2 linked regions of the Nothobranchius furzeri genome follow. The protein of the gene in region 1 purifies or fractionates together with the protein of each later gene. This does not show direct contact. Links are inferred from orthologs where the notes say so. Each region holds a gene or a part of one and is shown in the gene's direction. Other genes may lie near its edges.

Region 1 (7,205 bases):
TCGCACCGTAGCCGATAGTTCGGCCGTCTTCTGAGCACTCTCAATGACGCCCCTAAGATGGGGACCAAACAGAACATCGGTGGTGATGGGGCCATCCAGCATCTCCCTTTGCAGATGTTCCGGAATGGAGGGCAGGGCCTTCAGCCAGATCGCTCGCTGGATGAGGGTCTGCCAGGCAGCGATGCGAGTAGAACCGGTGAGCACAGCAGCACACAAATTGAGGATAGCATCAGCAGTCTTAGTTATGACGGCTTTCGACTCCTCGGGAGCTTCCAGCTCCTCCATCATCTTGGAGACGCCGAAGGCAAGAAGGGCGATGTTATTCCCTGCAGCGCCGGTCTGAAAGGCACACTGATGTGCGCGGTCGGTGAGCCGCGTCAGCAGCTGGTCATGTTTTGAAGCGGGAACAGCTCGCGGGCCAGCGAGGTGGTTCTTGGCGCCGAACAGCGAGGCCAAATCCGGCTCTAGTGGAGGAACGGACGGCCAGCCTTGGTTGGAAAACCCCTCGACCTTGGTGATGGGCGCATACGTGGAGACTGGCGCCTTGAGCTTGGCAGGCTCGGAGAAGGCGGCAGACCAGCAGCTCATAGCAGCGGGGAAGCGCGGCCAGACAGGGTCTGGACAGCGTGTCTGAGTTGCCACGAAAATTCCCGCCAAATCATCCGCTTCAGGCAGGGCCGGTTCTGGCACAGCTAGCCCCTTGCGGGCTGCTGCCGCAGAAATGATGGCGGGCAGCTCCTGGAGCAGTGCTCTTACTGCTGGCAGGGAGGAGCGAGAAGCCACTGGGGCAGAAGGACCCGCTGAGCGAAGCTCGTCGACCTCCGTTATGTCTAGGAGGGATGCCGCCTCATCGTAGTTTTCACTGTCGGTGACGTCATCCAGCCGGTTGAAGCCAGCCGGCTCCTGACCGGCGTCGAAGAAAACCAAAGCCTTGTCCAGCGGGTAGGAGTCAGCCACCGGAAATTCTTCGTCGGCGGCGGGAGTGAAGTACTCGACCCGGCAAATCTTCTCTGCCACGGGCAGAGCGGCACAGAACGGGCACGAGGCCTGCGGGGTCAAGGCCAGGCCAGCGTGGTGAGCCCCGAGACAGACCTCACACTTAGTGTGCAGGTCTCCACTGGAAATGGAGCCCGTCTGGCAGGTCGGGCAGGGTCTGGCGTCGCTGGACATGGCTGGTAAGTCGTCTTCGGATAATTTCGCTCTTTTGAGATAATATTTGCTCTTTAATAAAGCTCTCAAGCTTGGCATGAAGAGAAAAAGGAGGTGAGCAGTGGGGTCACTGCGGTTATATACCACGAGGGGGCCCACTATTGGTGGGCGTACATTTAAGCTCTTCATGATTGGCTGATGCGGAGATCATCCTTCCAATAGCAGCTAGCTTAAGGGCTAAGACTAGACGAAATAGAACTCTTAAAGACACATTTATGTCAAATTATTTCATTTAGATCTTGTTTATTTGTATTTTCTGGTAAAGTTGACTCAATAACATTTCTTCTGTTGACCAGGTGAGCCTCGATTTAATGATTTCCCAAGGGGAACATAATCCTGGCAGCAGAAGTGTTTTGTGTGTCTTTCATCAATACTTCAAAATCAGTAATAAGGGAACTACATAAACACAACTTTGTTGTTTGACTATAATCTCAGTTATTGATTAAAACTAGAGGTTGGCCGATACCAACGACAATGATGCCCAGACATTATTAGCCGATGGCCGATATCTACTACTGAATTTATTGACTATATCCAGATGTTTTCCACTTGGGATGTGTATTGGTGAAATTTTGCCGATACGATATGTATCACAATACAGGGGAGACGATAAATATTACGATACATTCAGCCAGAGGATTTTAGTGATTTTTTTAGACTGAATTCATTGTAAGAAAATGTTTCATTGTAAGAAAATGTAATAAACAGTCCAAACTGATACTTAACATGTTTAACATGAGGTATCGAAACCATAACAGATGGGTTTACATTTTAATGGCGGAAACAAAACCCATTACACACTGCTGCCAACTCGCGATAAGCGTTTGAATTGCACCAAAAGAAAATACACAAATGTTTGCATGTAAATTCTTCCAAAAATTAGATACACGGCTTTTGAATATCGATATAATATTGCAGGAAAAAATATCACGATATATTGCCATATCGATATTTTCTTACATCCCTAGTTTCCACCTGATTTTCATGCTAAAATGTCACTAATAACATCATCTGATTCTCACAATTTGTGAAGCTGAATCCGTTTTTGAACTCTGAATTTAACTAACTGTTAAATCTTAACTTTGTGCATTGTTCAGTGTTAAAGTCAGACATCTAAATAAAGTTAATTTAGAGTATTATGCAGATGTTATTAGCTAATGTAAAACGTGTTTAAATTAACTCCTGCAACATCATCGGACTGTTCGAGTATGTCCCTGACTTTAAATCGGCTTTACCAAGGACAAATATTGGCCCGATATATCGCCCTAAGGTGTGTGTGTGTGTGTGTGTGTGTGTGTGTGTGTGTGTGTGTGTGTGTGTGTGTGTGTGTGTGTGTGAATCACCACACAACTGTTGCGTCAGCTGCTGCGTTGACCATCTGACAGCTGGTGAGTCCCATCAGCTGCAGCTGTGATAAAGGCTCTTCGGTCGTACACTTGGACTGTTTGCTGGTCTTTAGAATGTGTAACACATTGAATTCATTGTCATTATGATATTTTAGTTGGTATTTTATTCGATATATATTTTTTATCACAGATCGGGGGGTTTTTGTGGGTGTTCATGTTTTCCTTCTGTTTTTTTTTTTTTTTTCAGTGCGACTGCCATGTCTTCCAGAAAGACCGTCCATAAAAGAAAGTCTGCAGCTGTTGGAGAAGATGTCGGTGAATCAAAAAAGGTGAAAGGTACGACATTAAAACAGGGTTAAAAGGGACGAGCAGACCTTAATGTCTTTACCAAGCTGACTAGAAGACTGCTTTAAGAACCTTCTGTTTCTTATTGAATAAAACACTGTTGGGTTTAAAAGACAACCGCACGATTGTTTATTTTACTGTAAATGTGATGTGATTGTGTCTGTATTTGTATCAGTTTCTCACAGGAGTCATCGTAAAGAGGCAGGCCAGGTTCTAGTTCTGGGCCAGGGTGATGTTGGACAGCTGGGCCTGGGTGAGAACATCACTGAGAGGAAGAAGCCAGCTTTTCTGTCTTTACCGGAGAAAATGGTGCAAGTGGCAGCAGGAGGCATGCACACCGTGTGTCTGAGTGAAAGCGGGCATGTACGTGAACATCAGTCCTGGTTTTATTCTCTTTATTTTCACAGAGAAGCCACAAGTTTAACACTGTTAATTTGTTTAGGTCTACACATTTGGCTGTAATGATGAGGGAGCTCTTGGACGGGACACGTCAGAAGAAGGATCTGAGATGGTCCCAGGAAAGGTGTCTCTGGAGGAGAAGGTGGTCCAGGTGTCTGCAGGGGACAGCCACACAGCTGCACTCACAGAGGATGGACATGTGTACATCTGGGGCTCCTTCAGGGTTGGTCAACTGCTGTTTACAAACAACATTTGAGCAGCTGGGACGATAAAAATCGTTTATTATTTTCTCTGTGTGTTTGCTTTTGCTCCTCTCAGGACAACAATGGTGTGATTGGTCTTCTGGATCCCATGGCGACGTGTCCCGTTCCTGTTAAAATCCAGCTGACAGAGGCTGTAGTGAAAGTTGCTTCAGGTAGACAATGCTGTGTTTTAGGGGCTGCATGACTTAATTTTTTTTAAAGTCGACTGCCAAGTAATAAAAATTGAGTCGACTTTGACTAGTCGTTGATGACGTCATACACTTGAAGTGGGGGGGGGGGGGGGGGGTGACAAATAAAATTGTGCCCACATTTTCAAAGTTAAACACATTTCTTTTAACAACGGTAGTTTCTGCTTCAGCCATCTCCCCCCTCCCCCTGCTTCAGCCCTCTCCCCCCTCCCCCTGCTTCAGCCCTCTCCCCCCTCCCCCTGCGCAGCGGCCACAAACTCACTGATGCGCCTGCAGCCTCTCGGAGTTCCTGCTGCTCTAAACATTAAAATAATTATTTCATTTTGTGTTCCTCTCTTCTGATTACCTTCAATGGTGTCTGTTTGTTGCAACCACCAGGTACAAAAACTAACTTGTTTTTATTTGACTATTTTTCTGTCCTGCCTGTTTATTATCTTCCTGCATCTCCTCTCAATCCTAAAGAGAAACTGCTACCTGGGTTCATATATATTCACCTTATGAGTTACCTTTGAACTGCAGTTCTAAAAGATCTACCGACCGCAAAAACAGCGGAGTGCGTGCTGCTTGCCGGCCGCATCAGTTAGGTGCTTCACTGAGGACAAAACAGGTGATGCGCCCCAATCCACAGCAGCGAAACGCATCAGGCACAAATAAAAGAATAAAAGACAGAATACATAAAAGGAAATGAGCCGATATGAACGATCGCATGTTAAATTTGTTTTTGAGGTGGCGACACCTGATTTGATAATGTTACTGTGGCTGTGCTCAGGACGCAGATGTCTGGAGCGTGTCAACGATCAGAGCTTTGCATGCGCAAGCTGGTTAAGGTTAGGATGGGGGTGAGGGGAAGGTTAAATTACAAGAGGGTAAAGGTCACAATTTGGTTAAATGTCCGTTTTACGGCGGGTGTCAGTACCGACGCTCTGGCACAGCGCGTTACCTCCCGACGCGCAGGAGCTCATCACCTGCTGTATTTTCCGAGGACTGCATCTTGCCGGTCATTATCACCTGACAGCGAATAGTCGATGACAGGCATAAAAAGTCACTACAGAGCAGTGAAGTCGACTAGTTCATACAACCCCTACTGTGTTTAAGCTCCACACCTTTGGTTTAATCCCAGTTTACAGGAACTCTGCTGCTTTCACAGGGAATGACCACCTGGTCCTGCTGACGCTGGACGGAGATCTGTACACATCAGGCTCTGCAGAACAGGGACAGCTGGGACGAGTGCCGGAGCAGTTTTCAAACAGAGGGGGCAGGAGAGGTCTCGGTGGGTAAAAAGAACGCGGCTGAAGACATTCGTGTGTCTCTGTTTAGTTAAACTTGTGCTTTGGTTCCAGAGCGACTGCTGGTGCCTCAGATGGTGAAACTCAATAGGAGGGTTCACTTTACGGATGTGTTCTGCGGGGCGTATCTTACCTTTGCCATGTCTAAAGAAGGATACATTTATGGGTTCGGCCTCTCAAACTACCACCAGCTCGGTGAGTCTTGAGTTTGTGTCGTGGGAACTGAACCGTGCCAGTGAGTGGTCCCACTGTTTGCTAATCCTGTTTTTCTTTCCAGGCACTAAAAGCACCAAGATGTGTTTCGTCCCGGTGAAGCTGACGTGTTTCAAGAACTCAACGACCACTTGGGTGGACTTCTCTGGAGGCCAACATCACACGCTCTGCCTAGACTCTGAAGGTGGACAGACGGGTCGCCGTACTCTGATTTTATTCTGACCAACGTAAAAAAAAAAACTAACAGAATTGTTTTGCTTTTGATTTTTGTTCACATGTTTAGGGCAGGTTTATAGTCTTGGGAGAGCCGAGTACGGTCGCCTCGGGCTGGGTCGAGGAGCTGAAGAGAAGAGCGAGCCCACGCCGGTGACAGGGCTGGAGTCGGCCCGGGAAGTGTCATGTGGGGCTTCTGTCAGCTACGCCGTCACCAAAGAAGGTGGGCAGCAGAGTCGTTTGGGCTTTTGGGAACTACCACACGTTCTCGTACCTTTTGATGATCGCTAAAAGCTTAAACTGGTTGTAATATTCGCCACATTAAATGAAACCAGACTAGATATCAGTTCTTACTGAAGCGTGTTTGTGTGTTTTCAGGATCGGTGTATGCTTGGGGCATGGGAACCAACCTGCAGCTTGGAACAGGAGAGGAGGAGGATGAGTGGAGCCCCGTGAAGATGACAGGCAAACAGCTGGAGAACCGTGAAGTTCTGATGGCGTCCAGTGGGGGGCAGCACACCGTCTTGCTGGTCAAAGACAAACAGGAGAGCTGATGTTGTGCTGGACAGGAAGACGTTCAGGATGCTGAGACGAGCTGATGTTTGACCTGCTGTGCTGAGCCGAGGGAGCGTGAGGGGTTCAGGCCACGTGGGGTCACCGGAGGCCTAAACTCTTATGAGAACTTATTTGTTCTTAACCTGGGGCGAAACGTTGGTTTAGATCATGAGAAATTAATCTGTTTGTTTTTTTTAAGATTTCAATTAAATTTTACTGAGTCATTTGTACGACTGAAATTGTGTTTGTGGAGGTGATTGCATGTAGGACGAGGAAGTGAGAGCGCAGACTGTTAAAGCTCCTGAAAAATAGTTTTTTTAAGGTCTTCTTTGAGCAATAATAATCAGAATTAAAGCTGCAAGCAGCGTCGTTCGGCCCTCGCAGCGTAGCTGCTCGCCCTCCGTCCGCACCCCCTCCACTCCATCCCCGACACTCTCCAAACCCAGCTCCCCGCCGCTCCGTCCTGGCCGGCAGCCCGGGGCACCAGGGCACGTCCACGGACTGAAACGTCCACCACCCCGACACCAAGAACAACTAACGGTCACCTCGTCCACACCTCACCCTGACTCAGCATCCCCTCTGAGCCTACCATTATATTACATGTCTCACCACTAGGGCATACTCTGTCTTTACCACACTGTTGGTGTGATGACAAAGACCAACTTTAATGCTTTTCTGCCCATGTTTATTAAAGTTATCGAAAGTGAAAGTTATCTAGGGTGATCAACTACAGAAAAATCCCATTGAGGTCAGCTTTGGTTGACAAAGAAAGTTTTCTTTTATTTTGGCATCAAACGGACGTTGTGTGTGTTATCTAGAGCCAGTGAGCTGAAATGGGCGGATCTACAGAGATTTGAACCAACAACCATATCAGTGTGTTTGGTGCAGTCACGTGATGTCACAAGCCAAGTATAATGCCATTCTGACCTTGTCTTTAGAAGTTAATAAAGTTTGAACCCATCTAGGGGGCGCTGTGACCATTTACAACTAAATCCCATAGAGGTCATCTTTGGTCATCAAAGATGGTTTCCTGTTAATTTGTCATCAATCAAACGTTGCATGGGTCATCTAGAGACAAAAAGCTGTAAGTGGGCGGAGTTAAAGTGAATTGAACAAGTGAGCACATACATGTGTTGATTGCAGTTGTGTGATGACTCCTACAAAGTTTGATGTAGTTTGGAGCTTTTT
Region 2 (8,001 bases), on another chromosome or scaffold:
TGGAACTGTTCAGGTTTACGCAGACAATCTTTACATAGAATTGACTTACAGATATAAAATTAATTCAGTAAAATATAAAGCATTTTATTTAAATATCCATTCATTATTTTCCAAACACAGAGAGCCGCATCGGATGGATGGAAGAGCCGCGGGTTGCTGACCCCTAGGTATAGCCTATAAAATGACATGTTTTCTCCAGGATCAGAGAGGACACAAACTCAACACATCTCTTTTATTGTGAGGAAATAATTTCTCCGAGTTTTGCGGTTGCGGGCGGGAGTGGACATGCACACTGTGGGTGCGGGCGGGAGTGTAACACACATTGCGGTTGCGGGCGGTAATGGTCAGAAATTCAGTGGGAGCGGGCAGGAGTGGGATATTTATTAAAGATAAGTAATAAAATGACACAACATGACAATTTACTGTTATGAACACAGATGACTTTAATGAGGCAAGGAGGAAGCTCCCTCTTGCTGAGGAGCAGACAGACCTCCAGTCTGAGGTGGAAGCCATTGAAAGGCCTCAAAGAAGAAGAATAAAGTAAGAATTTTGTGAACTTTCCATTCCTCCACCTCTTGGGCCTGTGTTGAATTTGCACACATTAACTTAAAAAAATGTTTAATTCCAAAAAAAGTTTGTATTGTGTTATCATTTCCAAAGGCCAAGTATATGTCCAGGACCAGGCCTCATCAGAGGATGAAGCCCAGACCCCTGGAAGAGGGCTTCCCCCACCCCCAGCCATCCCCCCGGTGAGGAGAAGGTTCATCCTCCCCAATAACCTGTGCCTCTCCCTGACCTGACCAATTACCAGGTAATGGAAATCTCAACAAATACCACAGTAACGTATGTATAGCAAATGGGTTTGAGTGTAGCTGATCATGTACGTGTGGTGTTTCAAATGTGATACGCTAGGAAATTTACAAAGGTTAATGAGGCAGTTACATGGAGAAAAACGCTTCTGGAGCCATTACGTCAGTGTTGAGGTCAATAATTGCATTTTGTAAACTGTTGTTCTTTTTCCGCTCCCTCTTCTACACACTCTTCCAGCATGTCACGACCCTGGGGACATCATTGCGGCAGGCCATTGACCTGCAGGGTCACCAGGGAACCCAGGGGGTTCCAGTTCCAACTCCCTCTTCATCTGGTGGGATGATGAGGGAGGAACCGGCTCTCCAGGTGCCTACAGTTTGCCCTAACTCCTCTCCAGGGCAGTGGCAGCAGAGGGACGACACGACATGTAAGGTTTTTATGGTTTACACTCACCCAGTCCTCACATGCCAGTTACAGTATACGAACACACATGATCCACGCATACATACTAATATAAGATGGTTTATAAAGTTAAACACACACACACACACACACACAACATGTAAATGTAAAAAATGCTTAAACTATGTTGTTTCTTTGTGTCTGAAATGCTTTTCAGCTCTCCTGCATGAAGTCCTGGTGAAACAGGAAATAATCCTTCAGCAGCAGCGCGGCCTCACCAAAATGGTGCAGGACCTTTTTGTTGCTGTTGCTGCTCTTCAGGGCCTGACCACAAGGGGGGAGTGTGGAGACCAGGCACCATGGCATCTTCCCCTTGGCAGATGTTTAGGCCCTGATGGCCCTGGAGAGGGAGCTTGGAATCAGTCCAACATTGGCCCATGAATTGGTGAGCTTTTTTTCTGTTCTTTACAACAAAGTTTTGGACAATGCATTTTGGAATGCACATCCAATTTATGTGTTGTTCAATATCTTAAAGTGGTAGATATGCCAAAGGAGTTAAAGGACATGTTGTGCAGCTAACGAGCTCCACCCAATTATTTGCGCCCCCCACGTTTCAGGTCTCTGTCCTTCATCAGGCAATCACGAAACACCAAATAAATAAATAGCGGAACACAATGGCTATCCAGACTTTTCTTTAAGTTTGTATAATATATGTTTGAAAATTCAATGAAAATCAATCTTTGTTGGTTTGAAAAATTAACGAAGATCAATTTTTCTAATTTTAGGGTTCAACACTCAGCCTTGCGGGGGTGTGGGGGTGTGGGGGGTGTGTCCACAGTAAAGGACACTGTGTGGCGGGTCCTCAAAGGAGCCATGACTAATGCCCTCACCAAGGGAATTACTTGGTGAGGGCAAAATGGGAAGGTGGCCTTTGAGAGGCTCCACCTAAAAGGCATTGTAATTGGTAAGTTTAATCACAACAGTAACACGACTGTTCTATCACACAGCTGATAAAATTATAGTTTAGGATAAAATTATTAGCCACCCATGACAATCACATTTCTTTTCAAAGTCAAAATACTTAGTCTTAACAACTTGTTTGCGAAATGGCATGCAGTGCGCCTGTGAATGTCACAAGTCTCGAAATTATAACACCACGCTATCGCTGGCTTCAAGACAGCTATTGCCACTTTGCCCGCAATGTGACGCGTTCTTCAGGGTCAACTCTCGCTCGTGAAATTCTTGTTTGGTTTTAGTGTCAGGAAAGAACCGCTGGTTTGTGTTTGGTAAACTGTGGCAGTGTAAGTACTAAGTGACTATGACGATTTGATGTTGTAACTTTGGCTGTCACTTTCAACCCCAGATGACGAGATGAATCCATTAACGAATGCAAAACTGACTTTTTAACTAGCCAGTTACTTAGCCCACCACAGGTCACTTTTGCATGGACTGTTGCGTCATCCTTTTTTAAGTCTTTCTCCATGTATATGCCTTTATTTTCAGCTGCAGTGAGAAGGAATCCGGTCTGTGTGGCATCTACGGAGGCAGAAATTATAAATACAATTAAAAAATGGTTCTACTGGGCTGGGGATAGGGACGCAAAAGGAGATTGCCCGCCCAACCAACCCCTCAACCAGCCCAGGACTCAGTCCAGGACTGACTTTTAAAAAAACAAATAAATAAAATATTCAAATTTTACTCTTGTTTGGTTTTATGTTTATGCACCTTGTACACACAGTAACCTAGGCTATTTCACAAGGCTATTTAACTAAGGCACAAAATCTGAATCTTCTGTACAAGGACATTTTATAGTCTATTAAAATGTTGAATTAAATTTAGCATAAGGTTCAGAATAAAATACAATCTTTTGGTAAACGTTTGGCTAATTATGGATAAGTTATAGTTCATATTTGGCTTTATTGTGGGATTTTGGGATAGTTATGGCTATGCTTTGGAAAGCCACATTTTATTTTGGGTAATCTTTTGGCAAACTTATGGTTACACTTTGATATCCTTTGGCCATTTTGTGGTGTTTTGGGGTTCTTTTGGTATAGTTATGGTTGTGCTTTGGAATTCCACAATTTATTTTGGAAGAATTCTGGCAACCTTTTGACAATCTATAATTCTATTTTGGCATGCCTTATTTGGGCCATATTTGGCCCATCATTCCACCCAAAAGAGTACCAAGACTGGCTTGCCAAACTAGTGCCAAAAATGATTCTGGCAACCTTTTGACAATCCATAATTATATTTTGGTGTGCCTAATTTGGGCCATATTTGGCCCATCATTCCATCCAAAAGAGTACCAAGACTGGCTTGCCAAACTAGGGCCAAAAAGAATTTGCTATCTGGGACTCCATACCAGTTGAGGGCGGTATTGCACTAAGCCGTTGTTTTTTAACCGTCAATAAAAACAACGAAGAAGAAAAAGAACAGGATTCGGCGCGCGAAAGCTCTAGCAGGAAGTGAGAGGAGCTGGAGGCATACGGCGGTCTGTTTGGTATTTGAATCTCTCAAACAACTTCCATAATCTTTAAACATCTACTTTAATATGGCAGACCCCAAGGTGAGGACACACTTTCTTTGTTAATCTACACATCCAGTTTCCTTTAAAATTAGAATTTCATGACGGAAATTGTATTTAGTGTCTGAAAATTCGCAAAATTTAGGAAAGGAAGCCAAGAGACAGATATGCGGACAATGAAGTTGCTCTCCGTGATGCTAGAAAAGCGTTTTGGGGTGTTTTCGCCCACTGTCATTCACGCCAGTTACATAAAAACATCGCTGAAACTAGTGTGTTGTACATTTGCTTTGAAATTTGACATAATATGTCGCTGTAGTGTTGAGGTTTACGAGCTCCGAGAAGTACACTGAAGTATCCAGCGAGTCAGCATGTTAGCCACATTACAATGCTCGGTAGCAACGTTAGACGATTAACATCAAACAATTAATAATTTATTGTTGTCTTTACGAAGTTGTATTAATCTACTCATCAGCTGGAAGCAGATAACGCGGTTAGCTGCGGTTTTTGCCTTTGTCTGCCTACTACAACAGTTGCTAATGCTAGCATTCATGCTAGGGCGAAGGGGAGAGCAACCCCGTGTTGTTTTATTAACAACAATGTTGTAATGAAGTCTGAGTTATCCCCAGACTAATGCAGAACTTCCAGATTAGCGTGTGTTTTAGTTGTTTTCGTTAGACCGAGTTAACAGCCCAACCATGATTAGCCGCGGTCTAGCGTCAGCCTTACAGGCCTCTAACTAGCCGGGCAACGTAGTTATCGGTTAATTAAACAACTCTAGTCTGACTGAGTTAATTTCATTTTAGAATTATAGCTGCATACTTAAGATATATAAACGATAATTGAGATCAGTGAATAAACACGTTTTTGTAAACCATCAAACCTGGAAAATGGCCCTCTGAAAGTTTTAGATGGGATTTTTTTCAATTTGTAGCTTCATGGCTTTTTCATGTCACATAAATTGTTGTCTTTAGCCATCCTTTAAAACTGACTGTACATCTTCCTGAATTTTTAAGCACTTTAATGGAGGAAAACGTGTATAATAATGATGAAAAGCTGCGGTTTATCAAAGCTCTTGTATTCCTTTACTGAAACATTTATTGTTTGTTGATGCCTTCACTTTGCTCCTGTAAATTCAAGAACCGCACCGACAAACATAAATGCTGTGCTACGTTTTCTAAACCCACTTCTTTTCTCTTAGGATCAGGAAGACCACGAGCCCACTGCAGACAATACAGAGGACTCCAATCACGACCCACAATTTGAGCCCATCGTGTCTCTCCCAGAGCAGGATGTTAAAACATTAGAAGAAGACGAAGAGGAGCTCTTTAAAATGTAAGATGCTTCATTTGTCGCATTTGTTTTATTTTCTTTACGGGGTTACAAATTTGATTCTTGACGTGAACATTAGCCATTTTCTGCCCAAATATTTGCTGTTGATTAAAATTTAAAAGGAAAAAAGCTGGTTATTGGGGAGATTCTACAAGCAATCTTTTATTTTAAATGCTCATGTTTATCGTTAGTATAAAAGTTAGTTTAATGAAGGACTTTCCTGTTTTCCTAGGCGAGCTAAACTTTATCGCTTTGCCTCTGAGAACGATCCACCCGAATGGAAGGAGAGAGGAACTGGTGATGTCAAGCTGCTGAAACACAAAGAGAAGGGTACAATTCGTCTCTTGATGAGGAGAGACCGAACCCTGAAGATTTGTGCCAATCATCATAGTGAGTCATTAAGTCAAACCACAATTCAAGACCTAGCTGGACTTGTTGGCGTGTGTACATTTAAATTAAAAGTGAACCCTTATGTATTCTGGATTCTTTAGCATCCTGAGTAAACAGGAGAAACACTTGAGAAAACAGGTCATGCTCATCTCTATCGTGACTAACCAGTACACCTGTCTGATCTGCAACTGAAGCTGGAAAATTGAGAATGATTTTGCAAAAGAGCTTCCGTAATTTCTCAAAATGTCTGCAGTATTTGGATTTATAAAGTAACTTGTGGTCTCTTTTTATAGCGGTGTTAATGACCCTTGCACCCTCTTGTGAATGACAGTTTTTCCCGTGATGGAGTTGAAGCCAAACGCTGGCAGTGACAGAGCATGGGTCTGGAACACATTAGCAGATTACGCTGATGAGTCCCCCAAACAGGAACTCCTGGCAATACGCTTTTTAAATGCAGAAAGTACGTACTTTAATCCAGGTGTTGTACTAAGAGCTGCTCATACGTGCTTACTTTTGCTCACACATGATCATGTCTGTCCACAGACGCTCAGAAGTTCAAGGTGAAGTTTGATGAATGCAAGGAGGAAGTGAGAAAAGTTCTAGAGAAATCAGGTGAGTAAAGCGTAAACCTCAGTTGTGAATGGATTGAGGTAAAGATGAACTCCAGTCTTTTTAATCATTTAAAGGCTGCAGACACACTCTGTTCTTTGCTGTTCACTCCAGCTTGGGACTTTTTCTGTCTGCTACATGAACACACAGGATGTACCAGTGCTAGCTTTACTACAGGGCTGGCGTCAGTATGTTCTGGGACACACACACACACACAGAGAGTTATCAAGTGGTGTAAATATAAAGCTTTGTGAAGAAAAGCTAGCTTGTTAAATTATTCATAGCTTTTGATGCCATGGCTTGTTTTATTGCTTCAACACAGGGGAAGACCTCGACAATGAGAACCAGGTGGTTGAGAAGCTGGGGGGGTTATCCGTTAAAGACAAGGTGTCTGCAGAAAAGGAGGACAAAAAGGAAAGTGAGAAGAAAAAAGATGAGAAAAAGGAGCTGAAAGCTGAGGAGAAGAATTAGAAACCCAAGAACTTGCTTTGCTGATCTTCAGTTTATCATGTTTCTCCCTTTTTCTACAATAGACTCTAAATGAACAGAATTTGGACACTTGCATTTTTTTTTTTTAAATCTGTTTTGCCTCAAGATCACAGGTCTTTGATGCTGTGTGGGAAAATCAGTGATTTTGTGAAAGAAAAAAGCTCCTCCCACGCTTTTCCCTCTGCACAATGGAAAATCATGCCTACCATCACTTTGTCACCAAGCGTTCGATATTACTGACAAACTGAAGGGGCTTGTGAAAGAGATCATTCCCACTTTTTGTTTTTCATTATTCTGAAGCAAAGTTCATTTGTGAGGAGAGAGGATAATGTAGCCTGCTTATTAGCAGTACAGGGTCTGGGACCAGGCATTATGGAGGATGAAACCCCATGATGCATCTCAGCGGGCCTTCGCACCCTGTTCACACTTCTGCTGCTGTTAGATCACAAGTAAGATGAAGACTTCTTGGTTGCTTTGTAGAGGTAGTTCTTTCTCAGCTCCTCTTTACTCGGATCTGTTGGTAGCGGACTTCAAGAGGAGTCCTCCAGACAGATTTCAGATGGCCACGTTCACCCATCCCTGACTGAGGTCAGATGCACTTAGCTAAGAACTTCATATTCCCTTTTGTTTCAGACTTTTCAGATCCATTAAGCCCAAAGTAAACCGTTTCAGTTTGGTGTGGAACTTTTGCATCTCACCAAGACATCAGTTTGTTATTTACCATAACATCTCCAGACTTTAGAAGCATGTGTGTAATGGAGTGCACCCCCATCTAATCTGTTCACAACTCTCCTTTTCGTCCCACTAATTAATTTCTTAACCTCCAATCTCAAGTGCATCTAAGTGCCAGTGCATTCTGTAAATACATGTATGTGGATGAAATGTTACTCTTCATTTGCACTCGGATGATCTGAAATGTTTCCTCTAACTTCAAATAAAGCCTATCAAAGACCACACATTTGGACCTGTAAAGAAAATCACTAAAGATGTGCTACATGAGTGTCCTGGTGTGTTCGTTAGGAAGGAATCTGATTCACTCAAAGTTGGAAAGTTTATTTACTTTGCTTGGGTCACTGGGAATTTTTCCTCTTCACAAAAATAGGAACACATACAGTTTATTCTGTATTATACACAATTGTCTCAGAAATCAAAGTCAGCTTGTGGCTGGTAGTCGTTGCCCGTCAGGAATGGCCCCTGACCTGCAGTGATGTCCATCCTAAAATAAAAACAAGACTAATGGCAGTCATCTTGAGGAATGACATCGATTGCATTTTGATTTGTGGTCGGATAACTTTGAGGGAAACCGCTCCGTCTCGATCACCTACCCATCCAGGTAGTTGACTGCAGCCTCACAACATGTGTTAAGGCAGCTGGGTGACACCTTAAGGAGAGACCATGGCGAGCTAAATTAGAGCAACGTGTAACCTCCAGCCTGGGCGACAGCAGGA

The links. The genes of interacting proteins can lie anywhere in the genome.
Region 2: the proteins of rcc1 (region 1) and ranbp1 purify together in Homo sapiens (affinity purification with mass spectrometry; 3 studies listed by BioGRID and IntAct, counting the BioPlex papers as one, with this or other methods). This does not show direct contact. The link is inferred for Nothobranchius furzeri from reciprocal best matches to the Homo sapiens genes RCC1 and RANBP1.

What each region holds. Positions count from the first base shown.
Region 1 is NC_091745.1:40,113,139-40,120,343, forward strand, and holds the end of rcc1 (regulator of chromosome condensation), read left to right. Parts: intron 1-2,654; exon of another isoform or gene 2,655-2,673; intron 2,674-2,802; 5' UTR 2,803-2,812; coding exon 2,813-2,891; intron 2,892-3,075; coding exon 3,076-3,263; intron 3,264-3,342; coding exon 3,343-3,522; intron 3,523-3,617; coding exon 3,618-3,714; intron 3,715-4,897; coding exon 4,898-5,020; intron 5,021-5,090; coding exon 5,091-5,231; intron 5,232-5,313; coding exon 5,314-5,433; intron 5,434-5,532; coding exon 5,533-5,685; intron 5,686-5,840; coding exon 5,841-6,016; 3' UTR 6,017-6,247; downstream 6,248-7,205. UniProt on the Homo sapiens protein: Guanine-nucleotide releasing factor that promotes the exchange of Ran-bound GDP by GTP, and thereby plays an important role in RAN-mediated functions in nuclear import and mitosis.
Region 2 is NC_091757.1:31,789,182-31,797,182, forward strand, and holds ranbp1 (ran-specific GTPase-activating protein), read left to right. Parts: upstream 1-3,632; 5' UTR 3,633-3,763; coding exon 3,764-3,778; intron 3,779-4,934; coding exon 4,935-5,068; intron 5,069-5,297; coding exon 5,298-5,455; intron 5,456-5,786; coding exon 5,787-5,915; intron 5,916-5,998; coding exon 5,999-6,067; intron 6,068-6,144; exon of another isoform or gene 6,145-6,272; intron 6,273-6,386; coding exon 6,387-6,535; 3' UTR 6,536-7,200; downstream 7,201-8,001. UniProt on the Homo sapiens protein: Plays a role in RAN-dependent nucleocytoplasmic transport. Alleviates the TNPO1-dependent inhibition of RAN GTPase activity and mediates the dissociation of RAN from proteins involved in transport into the nucleus.